4 linked regions of the Drosophila melanogaster genome follow. The protein of the gene in region 2 interacts with the protein of the main gene of each other region in a pairwise test. Each region holds a gene or a part of one and is shown on either strand. Other genes may lie near its edges. The genes, in order: TfIIEbeta, CG13445, CG13540 and CG14143.

The links.
Region 1: the proteins of CG13445 (region 2) and TfIIEbeta interact in a two-hybrid assay, tested with the Drosophila melanogaster proteins (one large-scale study listed by BioGRID).
Region 3: the proteins of CG13445 (region 2) and CG13540 interact in a two-hybrid assay, tested with the Drosophila melanogaster proteins (one large-scale study listed by BioGRID).
Region 4: the proteins of CG13445 (region 2) and CG14143 interact in a two-hybrid assay, tested with the Drosophila melanogaster proteins (one large-scale study listed by BioGRID).

Annotation. Positions count from the first base shown.
Region 1 is NT_037436.4:4,285,036-4,288,852, forward strand, and holds TfIIEbeta (transcription factor IIEbeta), read left to right. Parts: upstream 1-2,002; 5' UTR 2,003-2,114; coding exon 2,115-2,176; exon of another isoform or gene 2,177-2,248; coding exon 2,249-2,353; intron 2,354-2,428; coding exon 2,429-2,591; intron 2,592-2,651; coding exon 2,652-2,942; intron 2,943-2,998; coding exon 2,999-3,256; 3' UTR 3,257-3,314; downstream 3,315-3,817. Other genes in the region: CG1316 (uncharacterized protein), read left to right, coding at 18-81, 140-237, 390-496, 564-734, 812-883.
Region 2 is NT_037436.4:15,807,915-15,810,548, forward strand, and holds CG13445 (uncharacterized protein), read left to right. Parts: upstream 1-1,570; 5' UTR 1,571-1,583; coding exon 1,584-1,617; intron 1,618-1,679; coding exon 1,680-1,969; 3' UTR 1,970-2,063; downstream 2,064-2,634. Other genes in the region: CG6244 (uncharacterized protein), read left to right, coding at 504-619, 673-805.
Region 3 is NT_033778.4:23,268,918-23,271,591, forward strand, and holds CG13540 (uncharacterized protein), read left to right. Parts: upstream 1-1,559; 5' UTR 1,560-1,590; coding exon 1,591-1,611; intron 1,612-1,666; coding exon 1,667-2,053; 3' UTR 2,054-2,142; downstream 2,143-2,674.
Region 4 is NT_037436.4:11,132,965-11,136,030, forward strand, and holds CG14143 (uncharacterized protein), read left to right. Parts: upstream 1-2,022; 5' UTR 2,023-2,032; coding exon 2,033-2,377; 3' UTR 2,378-2,516; downstream 2,517-3,066. Other genes in the region: NaPi-III (Na[+]-dependent inorganic phosphate cotransporter type III), read left to right, coding at 1-60, 131-633, 703-1,036.

The sequences.
Region 1 (3,817 bases), about 12 Mb from region 2:
TTATATCTCCGTTGTAGATGGACCGCGCACCAATGAGGCCTTAGTGGTGTACGACAACCCAGAAGCCGCCATTTATGCCAAGTAAACAAAGCCCTAAAACTCATTTTCATGCAGGCTTTAAAACACTATTCTTCTTTAGGGACAAACTTCATGGCCTGGAGTACCCAATGGGCGAACGCATCATTGTCAAAGTCAATGGAATGAGCTCAGCTCGCATGGACACATCCTTCATAGACAGTACGCGAGTTAAACCTATCAAGGGCTACAGGCCGCGCCATCACCTGTAGCCATTTATTAAACGCTTTTGCTTGGTTTATTTCTTAGCACATTTTTGGCTTAAAATGCATGATATTTCCTATTTCTAGACTTAATGTGGTTTTTTATTTTAGAGCGAACCAAAAAGGATGCCATCTGCAATGTTCCCTTGCCCCCAACTCAGCCACTGGCATCGCCGGACGACCAGGTGGCCCAACGACTGTTCATTGTGCTCTCAGCGGTAGGTATCACTGTACCGTGTCCAATTACCATTAGCTATAAACGTTGTTTCTTTCCCATCTACTCAGAACTTGCCGCATTCGATATTGAAGAACATATTCTCTTGCTGGTCGGGACTGATCGACGTCTACCTTCTGCCCAACAAGAACTGTGGCTACGTCAAGTATGCGGAGGTTGAGAGTGCTCAATTGGCCATTCGTACCCTAAACGGAGCCGAAATTTGCGGCACCAAAATCAAGGTTTGTACCGTGTACTCATGTTCTGTTGCTGACAAGCAAGCAATTCTAATCAATTTTAAATTTTTATCTTACTTTAGGTCATGGAGGCTGAGGAGCGAAGTGGCTCCGACGGCGATGATGGCGGTCGCAAGCGATTGAGACGGAACTGAGTGTAAGTAGCTAGTTGAGTATGCATAAATTCCGTATCTATTAATGTAGCCATAATTGAACTGAGTGTGTGCCGTGGTACGAGGTAAGTAGCTGTGCAAATTCCAAACCGAAAACCTTTTAGCGATTTAAGACAATGTGCGCCTGCTGCACTTGCCCTGTGCACCGGTTGGCCATCGATGTCCACGATACCCATGCCGCCCACTGAGCGCGAACATAATAAGCCAAACCATTTTTATCTTTCTATCTCCACAGACCCACTGACAACCAAGAACTTACAGAGAACGCAATGTACGAAAACGTAACTAACTTGAGCATACAGTCCGATAAAAACAGTTGAACTGACCACCAACCACCAAACAACGCAACAACCAACCAATAACCAAACAAGAACCACCACCACAACAACACTCTCCGTACGGAATGCCACATGAACCAGAACCACGGGGACTGGAGAACGCAGACTGGAAACGGAAACTGCGAACGAAGACCATACCCGGGTGAACAAACCAAACAGGCCAACGAAATCACCACACCCGTTGACTACTCTCTACCAATTGACTAACTCAAGTGGGTCTCGTACAGAGCACTCGTAGAAAGACCCATAACCCATACGACCTTTAAACGGAGCCAACGAAACCGCAATGCTCTTGCTATATACACAATATATGCATAGTGTCGTATATATGTGTACTCATACCGCTTAGGGGACTTTTGAATCTACCCGTGATACAGAAACGAACTCTCTGTGTAACTTGAACTCTTACAAACTTATTCCGACGAGATTCAGCCAAGCAATAAATTCAAACGCAATGAATTTCTTAAGAGTATCAACTCTGTCTCGTAAATTCACGCTAAGCCACAGCGTGAAAAATTATTCTTTTCATATATTAGATTTAAATAAACGATATTCTACTGTATAAGGCCAACAATAAATACACTTAAATGGAATAATGTTTTTTTTTTCTTTGGAAGCGAAATGGGAAACAAATTAATTCTCGCTATGCAGATTTTCCATATATATATAATAAATTTTTTTTTAAAAGCGAATGGACTTTTTGAAAGGTCGTTAAATGAACCAGTTCCGAAATGTACAACTTCAGTGTCGCAGCCCTGGTAAGTTCCGGTTCCACGGACAGCTGAGCAGGCATTGTTTAGATTTTGTAAATTGTTGATTTCTCGCAGCAGAAAGTTTTTTTTCGTAGAGCTAAATAATAAAAAAAAACATTCGAAATGGATCCAGCACTGCTTCGCGAACGCGAGGCCTTCAAAAAGCGGGCGATGGCCACGCCCACGTGAGTACCGCACTTGTGGCCCCTCTGATAAAGATTGCTTCTCGAAAATTACATGCTATCCTTTTAAAATAGCGTGGAAAAGAAGTCCAAGCCCGATAGACCAGCTCCACCGCCGCCTAGCGATGATTCCAGGCGCAAAATGCGCCCGCCCAATGCTCCCAGGCTGGATGCCACAACGTAAGTTCCTTGAGAGCCTCTGCTACTGCCAGAAATGGTTCTTAACCATGTGGAACTCTTGCATTCCATACTTAGATACAAGACCATGTCCGGCAGTTCCCAGTACCGCTTTGGAGTGCTGGCCAAGATTGTGAAATTCATGCGCACACGTCACCAGGACGGCGACGACCATCCCCTGACCATCGATGAGATTCTGGACGAGACCAACCAGCTGGACATTGGGCAATCCGTTAAGAATGTTAGCTACAGTGCGTGATAAGTTGTGGCAGGTTATTAAACCATTATTCCTCTATTTTAGTGGCTTGCTAGCGAGGCTCTGCACAACAATCCCAAGGTGGAAGCCAGTCCATGTGGCACCAAGTTCAGTTTCAAGCCAGTCTACAAGATCAAGGATGGCAAAACGCTGATGCGTCTGCTCAAGCAACATGATTTAAAGGGCCTGGGCGGCATTTTGCTGGACGATGTCCAGGAATCTCTACCACACTGCGAAAAGGTGCTGAAGAACCGATCAGCCGAAATACTTTTTGTTGTTAGACCCATTGACAAAAAGAAGATTTTATTTTACAATGACAGGACTGCTAATTTTTCGGTGGGTTATAAACACACTCTTCTAAAATCCCAGCCTAATCAATTGTACCGTCTCAGGTGGACGACGAGTTCCAGAAGCTATGGCGCTCGGCTACGGTCGATGCAATGGACGACGCCAAGATTGACGAGTACCTCGAGAAGCAGGGCATTCGCTCCATGCAGGACCATGGCCTCAAGAAAGCAATTCCCAAGCGCAAGAAGGCGGCCAACAAGAAGCGGCAGTTCAAGAAGCCCAGAGACAACGAACATTTGGCCGACGTTCTGGAGGTCTACGAGGATAACACACTAACGCTGAAGGGTGTGAACCCAACGTAGAATAGAGACATTAGATTATACAAATAAAAACCACTCTCAATGGAATTAAGTACACTCGAAACTGGATGTTATAAATTTGTTTAACCACTGCCAATCTAATTAAGAATCCGCTGTGGCCGAAATCTCATTCCTCAAGATTTATAGTACCAGATTGCTGTTCTGCCTGTGGCATTGAACTTAAAAATATGACGACCGGCACAGGGAAAGATAATTAAAAAGCAAAACTATGTAATCTTTTCCTGACATTCCCCATTGCTTTCCACACCTGATGGCTGGTGGTGTGCGTGTACGAGGGCCAGAATCGATGCTGGTGGGCAGTTAAATTGGCAACAGAGGGAAGCCGTAGCTTTAGTCTGCACTGAACAGCAGCCAAGTTCAGTTGGAATCGATTTGGAATAACCTATATTTTGGTACGGCGGTTGTGCGGGCTTATCAGGAAAATTATCTATATATTGGACTCTACAAATCTAAAAAAAGATTGTGTTGCTATTTGTAATCTATTAAGATTATAACAAGAGATCCGATATTCAGTATAGACAAAAATATAGCTCATACGACTCG
Region 2 (2,634 bases):
CAATCAATTGAAGATCCTCGCTATCCAAACGGATCAATATCAACATTGAAATTATTCAACTGGAAACCCCACACAAAAACAGAGAAGCGGCAAAGGAGTATTAAACAGATTATTACAAATCAGTGAGTTCACATTAGGATGTTTTTAGTTTTGAACGGATATAATTTTAAAATTATATTTATATAAATTCCCAAAAGTATTATTATCTTATTACGTATTTTAAAATGTATTATTATTATATATTACGTGTAATAAAATCATTATTACGCTTTTTGAGTATGGAATTAAAAACATCAAATAAATGATTTATATCTCCGTTGATTTTTTACAACCTAGCTAAACAGCTTTTTTCTAGCTAAAATGTAATCATAATAAAAGAACCCGCAGTAACGACTGTCAAAAATATAATTTGACGAAAGTGGAGTCAGAAGTGTGCAAGAGCATATTAATTAAAAAATTGCAATTAAAATATTAAAATATATCGTATCTTCTGATCTTCTGCCATGGGTCGTCGCAAGTCCAAACGCAAAGGAGCCCCAAGAAAGAAAAATATTCAGCCGCTGCCCATTCTTTTCGATTGTCCATTCTGCAATCACAAGCAGTCATGTGAAGCGAAACTGTGAGTAGGAATCAAAATTTGGTTTTACTCCGCTAATTTCATAGTATTCATAGAGATAAGGCGAAAAAAATAGGAAGAATTACCTGTACCGTGTGCCAAGAATTTTTTCAAACACATATAAACTATCTCACGGAGGCAATTGATGTGTTCAACGATTGGATTGATGCTTGCGAGGAGGAGAACTAACCATTTACACTTTTTAATACGCTTTAAAAGCATGTGAAAACACTTTGAAAACTTATAAGCAGAAAGCCTTAAGCAAACTGCTCTTATACTTCAAATATACACGGAATTCTACTTATACGCGTGTATTATACAAAATATTTTACATACATACGTTTCTGCTGCATACTTTTGAGCTGTGACCTTACATTTTATATAACTAAAATTAAATGAATAAAAAACAAATCACAATATTAAAACTAGTTAGGATCATAAATAGTTTTTGCTACAAAATAAGCTTTCAGTTTTGGAAAATGTACTTATATTTCCAAAATTCTACCCTTTTAAATGAAAAGCATGACTGTAATTAAAATGTCTATAATATTTGTTTTTTTTTTCTAAAAAAAACACTCATTTACCGATTTAGAAGGCATGTGTGTGGATTTGTATGGACCTTTATATTAATATTAAGTATATTCAATTAGTGTATCTCTAAGATATTTTACTGCCACCTAATTTGCAACCCAATTTACAGCATTGAAGCGTGGTTCTAACAACACAAATCACCCAGCAAACCCCGAAAGCTCTGACCTTGATCGCTCAAACTCAATAGCTATGCTAATATTTTGTTAGTTGTTTCTATGTAGAATTTTGGGGCATTTCGTTGATCTTGGGGTAGTCAAACACAGTCTGCTGGGTCAGAGACGATTCGCAAGGCACTTGCCAAAATTTTAGTATATAAGCCGAAGCCAAAAGCTCACTCAGCATCGAAAGCATCTCAAGCTACAATCAATCATCAAATATGCAGTCTAACAAGGTTTTCTTCGTGTTCTTTGGTGAGTTAGGAAAAGGAAGCCGACGAAAAGGATACCAAATCATCCAAGTCTATCCAATTTAGGTATCATCGCCATGGTGATCGCCGCCAGTCTCTCCTCGGATGTTGTGGACAAGGGTGATGATGTGATCAGCGATCGTCGTTTCCGTTGGGAATTCTCGCAGGACTCGGATGAGTCTGCCAACGACTTGCAGGAGGATGATGATGATGATGACGATGCCGCGGATGATGACAGCGGCAGTGCATCCGAAGAAATTTTGATCATCGAGTATCCTGAAGGCTACGAAAGCGGCTCCAATGAAAGCGCCTCCGATGAAAGCGTCTCCGATGAAAGCGCCTCCAATGAATCTTAATCATTTAGTTAACAGTTTTTGTAATTTTTGTTTTTATAAATAGTATTTGTTGTTATGGCGAAAAGTTTTAAAATTATACGATATTTGTGAGCGTAATCTGATTTTTTATTTCCCCCAAAAGATACCGCAGCTCAGGAATCATCCAAAAAGCATGCCCCACAATAGTTACATTTTAGCGATGATTACAACGATGATTTGTATAATTAATTTTATTTAACATAATTTAAAGTATCTTTAATTCAATTTTAATATGGTTTACATACAATATTTATAGTGTTATTTGCATTAATTTAAACATTTTAGTATTATGCATTTAAATATATTTAAGGTATATTTAAACTATGACTAAACATAAATTTTACATGATCTTTTTTTTCACCTCGCTAGTGATGTCGTTCAATAATTTATTTGCAATTTCTACTTAGTTGAAACCAAATGTTTTGGAATGATGGGACACAGGCAACACAATTAATTAATAGGATACAGAAAACGCAAAACGCTTTTAAAACCAATATACATTTACATACATTTAATACAAAAATGGTTTAAAATTTAATGATCTTGTTTTGGGTGGCTTCTTTCTGATCGAGTAATTTGGATTGCTCTAGAAAGAGATCAGAGCTAATCGGATTTAAAAACTTTTGTTATCCATTTGCGTTGGTTAT
Region 3 (2,674 bases), on a different chromosome or scaffold from region 2:
ATCCACCATTACCACTGCATATCGATTTTCATGCTCCGCAATCGCTTTGGATTATTCCGTAATTAAACGCAAATGCAGGCACCAAACTCGCGCTTTCGCCGCCTCCAACAACACTATCTCATACCCTACTTTTGACGATTCAAAAGTAATGTATATAGAGTTGAATAACGGAAACCAAATGAATTCTGATTCAGAGTTTTAAAAAACTATGGTATATGCTTACACTTTTTGCTACTGTTCGGTAATTACAGGGTATCTGATAGAGCGCCTGCTTCATCGACTGTGGCATTAAAGCCTCCATTTGTGCGTTGCAATTTGATATTCCGCTTCTCTGTTTTTTTGGCCCCATCGATTGTTGCTCTTCCTGGCTGTTTTTGTGGCTCCGATTGCCGGTTGGTGCATTCAGTGGTTGATGATTTCACCTTTTTCGCTCACCTCGTTGCTTTGATCGGTTAAATGTTAATGACTTTGTGGAGCGTATCTCCGTCGAAAGTGGAGTTTTTTGTTTAAGGCCCAAATGCGTGGCAAATTGCTGGCAAAATGAATCACTATCGGGAAATATATTAAAGCGCGTAATGGCTTTAAAACTTTTATAACATCATTCTCATCTCGAAAAAATCTTAGCTATCGGTCTAGTTTCAGCCGAATGCTGCTTTCCTCTCAATTTCGATATTTAATTTAAGCGCCACTGCTGGTTAAGCACTTGTTTGCTGGCCAAATTTTCCAAAACATTTCACTTCACGCGGCCAGAGACCTTAAACCACCGTCAAGCTGCTTATGTTGTTTGCATTTTGTTAAGCAAAAAATTAAATAACAGCACCCACACACACACACACACTCGTGGCCAGAGGGGCGGTAAGTGCTATTATTTGTTATTTGGTAAACGCAACAAATGAACCACCCATGTGCAAGGGAACATGGAGCTGGTTGCATGGAACTGGGAGCAGGGAGCAGAGGACCCGCAGAACGACCGCGACGGCAGTGGCAAAAACAGCAACAAATAGCAATATCTGCCAGGACACGGGAAAGAGGACATGGGGACCTGCATCCAGGCGTGGCATCATAATTAATTCAAATTTGAATTTCCTTTTGGCGCAATGCACGCGCCATTTTACATGATGGGTGGCAGTGCCACGCCCACATGTGTGGCATGCTATGACATCGGGGCTCCGGCATAATAAACTGTTTAAATATTTAGTCGAAACGAGTTTTTAATACTCGCTAGCGCTTTTAGCAGCTGCCAGCGGTCAGTGAATGGGTCCTCGTGGGTTTTGGGTTTTGATTGGGTCAAAAAGTCGTTGAAGACACTGAAAGCAGATCCTTTGGCCACACCGATAGTTTTCAGCCAAGAAATCAAGAAATACTGCGAGAAGAAGATGCACCAGTTGAACCTGAAACCTATTATTATTAACTATAGTTTTCTTGTATACCTCCAAATGCTAAGTTCCAATTTGGTTTTCATCTAACTCTTTTTATATCGAAATACTTGAAGTAGGGGAACATTGTGCTTTAGTGTTACCAAGGCAAATTTAAAATTTGTATATCTGGTATATAGCCAATCGACCGACAGCCTTACCCTTTTGCACATTCATGGAAAACCCTAAGAGCCCAGTAAGTAACCTTTTCAAATCAGTGAAAAGTGGAATAAAATATTGATCCGTTGCAGATGGCCAACGATCCCGGTAAGCCGGAAAAGTCCAGGCCACGCTTCTGCACCCTGTTGAACCATGAGGTCGTCGATCCCAAAGAGTTCATGGTGCACTTCGCCAAGCGGAGGAAGAATGAAATCATAATCCAGGGTCAGGTCTGCGGTTGGTGCTACAACATAGATTACTTAAAAGATGAAAAAACAAAGTTCAAGAAGAAGCGGCCCAATCTTTCGGATGCGAGCGTCACCAAGCAGCGCGCCACCTCACCACGAAGAGGAGCAATTGCAGACAACCCTCGTCAATTGGGTGGTGATCAGCACTGCTCGGAAAAGAGTTTTGCGCCCTCTGGTGACGAAATACCCACACCACGTGATTTGAAGGACAAACCTGGTGACCTTGCCTAAGGTCCGATACTGAAGTGGCCATAAAGCGATTTCAATTTGTAACATGTTTTCATTGATATAATCCAATAAATGATACGCCGGCTGTCTTGAAATCTCATTTAATAACTTTCAGTAGTAACATCCGGCCCCTTGGCAGCCAGGCCGGCGTGCGATCTTCTCGAGGTCGTGCACGAGGTGCGAAATGTGGCATCCAACGTAAACAAAATCTGTGGCCAGATAACAAATATAATAATATGCATTTACTGATGGCCCACATCTACAATAGATCTTAAGTATTCCCACAATTGGAAGGAAAGAACATTCATTTATTATCTGCTTATTTATAAACCTTGAACTTATGATATAACAGAATTTAGAAAGAATAAATGAGGATGAAATATACATATACATTTCTCCATATGATTATGTAAATGGTGTAATAGATTAATAATGCCATAGGATAGGAAAATCTTCGCCTCGCTTGTGTTCTTGTATAAAAAAAAAAATAGAATGTATAACTAAAGATTGTGTTTTCAAATGAATGATGTACCCCATCAGCGTCCAAAATAATTGCCCCAGTAACCGCCAATCACTCAAGTCCGTCCGCCAGTCAGTCAGCATTCCATCAGGATGTATCTCCGG
Region 4 (3,066 bases), 4.7 Mb from region 2:
AATGGACGCAAGTTGCAGGAGTGCTTCAAGCGGATGCAGTCGCCCAAGGAGGAGCAGAAGGTACTACCTGTTTAGTGCTAGCTAGCTAATTCGATTGCTTTGCCTAATCTTCGATTCTTTCCACTTACAGAGCAAGACGAACTCCATTGGCACGGACTTGGAAACCGGATCGACCAAAGCCACAAATAACAACCTTCAAGTGGTGGAGAGCGGCGGCAGCCTTGATCTTATGATCAGTTCCACTTTATCGCCCAATTCCAGCAAGGTTCCTCTGATCGAGAGCAAGGAGGCGCTGAATGAGCAGGAGGAGGAGCTGAAACGAACGACGGGCGGTGGACGAAGAACCAGTGGCGCCGAGGAGACTCCGGAGATTTCAATGCTCTTCTCGTTTCTGCAGATCCTGACAGCCACATTTGGCAGTTTTGCGCACGGCGGCAATGATGTGAGCAACGCCATCGGCCCACTGATTGCCCTCTATATGATCTATCGCGAGGGATCGGTTATGCAGCAGGCCGAGAGTCCCATCTATATTCTGATCTACGGCGGCATCGGCATCTCTGTGGGTCTCTGGCTGTGGGGACGACGAGTCATCGAGACCATTGGCAATGACCTTACGAAAATAACCTCATCGACGTGAGTATTCAGTTCCTAATTTCCCTTATCCTTTCACAAATAGAACATTCACTTTCAACTATTTTTCAGTGGCTTTACTATTGAAGTCGGAGCTGCCATCACCGTACTGCTGGCCAGCAAAATTGGCCTGCCCATTTCGACTACTCACTGCAAGGTCGGTTCGGTGGTTTTTGTGGGTCATGTGAGTGCATCAGGTCGCAAGAAGAAGAGTCAGCCGAATGATCAGACCGATAAGGAGACCCATAACGAAGTTGCGCCCATGGATGATGGCAGTGTCGATTGGCATCTATTCCGGAATATTGCCTATGCATGGATCGTAACGGTGCCGGTTACGGCGCTCCTCAGCGCCGGAATGATGTACGTGCTGTGTGCCATCGCCGTGGACGACATGGGTGGGGCCTAAAGATGGAACAGAGATTGCCATTCAATTATTAATTGTAATTGCAAAACCAAAATAATGTTTCGTAATTGTACAAGTTGGAAAACACAAAACTTAAATATTAAACACGCAAAAGGAAACTCAAGAAAAAGTGGTAAAATCTTAACTAAATTACTCGCCTAACTAAAGCATTGTATTTAGCTCATAGAACGTCTCTGAGTCTAACTGATATTAATATTATTTAATATGTGTGTACGCCAAGCAAAGCCGTGATTTGATTTTATATCTATACACCTCGATTTGATTAGTTTATACCCGAACTTCACATTACTTAAAATGCATTTGAGACTCATTTGTAAAGTTAGTCCCAACCACTCAAGTTATTTTACACCAATTAATAGATCAGAGCAAAACATTTGAATAAAATACAAACTATGTGCAACAGAAAATGTTTATACGTTGTGGTAAGACCAATTTTTATTTTATATTATCTTTTTTTTTCGTGTCAATTTAAATTGCCGTCTTTATTTACAATTCGTACACTTGGTTCCAAGTTCGGTTCGTAACAATTCAAAACCTTATGTATAAGGCTCTCCAGTCCGATTTAAATTTACATTCCATTGAGAGTCAGTTCGTAAAGTATTTCACTATGTAGTTATACGGAAAATAAATACGAAGTTATGACACAAAAAAAAATCTTTTATTTCAATACTTTGGCTACCCACCCAACTTACATCCGTTTCTCTAAGAAATTAGTATTTTAAAAATAAATGAATGGCGTATAATTAAGTGAGCCTCTGTATAAATAGCCTAATTATACATTGCGAAAATGTGGTATTGATCTCTGTTTAAGCAACCCAAATTTACTAAAACATCACATTCCGATTCGATTTAAAACGACTGTTTGCTGTTTGCTTAGGGAAAACATATATGAGATCTTCCTCTTGATTTGGCTATATATACGCCAGCTTCGCCCAGAAAGAAGCACATCAGTCATAGCAGTCTAAAACATTGTTCAAGATGCGATCCCAGCTAACTATCTTCCTTGCCATCGCGGCTTTCGTTTCGACTGCCTGGGCACTGACTTCTCCCGCCACGGTCACTGTTTCATCGGTCACTGTTTCATCGGTCACTATTCCATCGGTCACTATTCCTTCGGTCACTATTCCGACCACTGATACAGACACGTCCACCACTTCGCCTTCGGCAACCGGAAGCAGCACCACCGTGACTCCCACCACCAAGAAACCAAAGAAGAAGGCTACCGTTGTCCACTACAAGAAGAAGACCCACAAGTCGAACCGACGCCGCAAGTTCCGCCACTCACGTGATGGAAAGAGGAAGAACCGATCGAGTTGGGAATAAGAAGGACATCTCGTTTGGAACACCGCAGACCCTGAAGATCTACATGAACGACCCACACGCACCTTGTTAATCCTAATGTTACTTTACTCTTATTAAGTTCGCAATATTTAAATAAAAACATATTTAAAATTTTTTGTTTAATTATTGGGTTTTGTTTTTTACAAACTATGCTTTCAAAAACTAAACAAGCATTAATTCCATATAAATACCATGCAGAAAACGATATAAAGCTAACTGATGGACTTATACTTAGAGGATTACTTAGTAATATGTGGAGTAGACTAATAGTTATGGTTCAATAGTTATTCTTGATTATTGTCATAAGTTTGCACTTTTGCAAAATGGCTTTTGAGAACTATATGCACATGTTTAACGTGGCGGATGAGTAATATTATTTCTTAGTACTTGTATATTTGGAATTAAACATTTTTTAGTCCACATACCATTGGGTCGGTGAAAGTCTGAAAAACACAACACTTAAGTAAATATTTAACTTTAAGATTGTTGTTAAAGATAAAACATAGTATTTCGGCTTATAGCTCGCTATAACTTCGGGCCAGAAAGATGTCAACTTTTTGGCTTAATCGAAATGGTCAAGAAAGCCCAACAAAAGTTTTGTTCCATGTGAAAAAGCTTTGGTGGGAAAGCTTTTGAGCGCGTGGCGCTCGAAGAAAACGGTAGCCGCAACT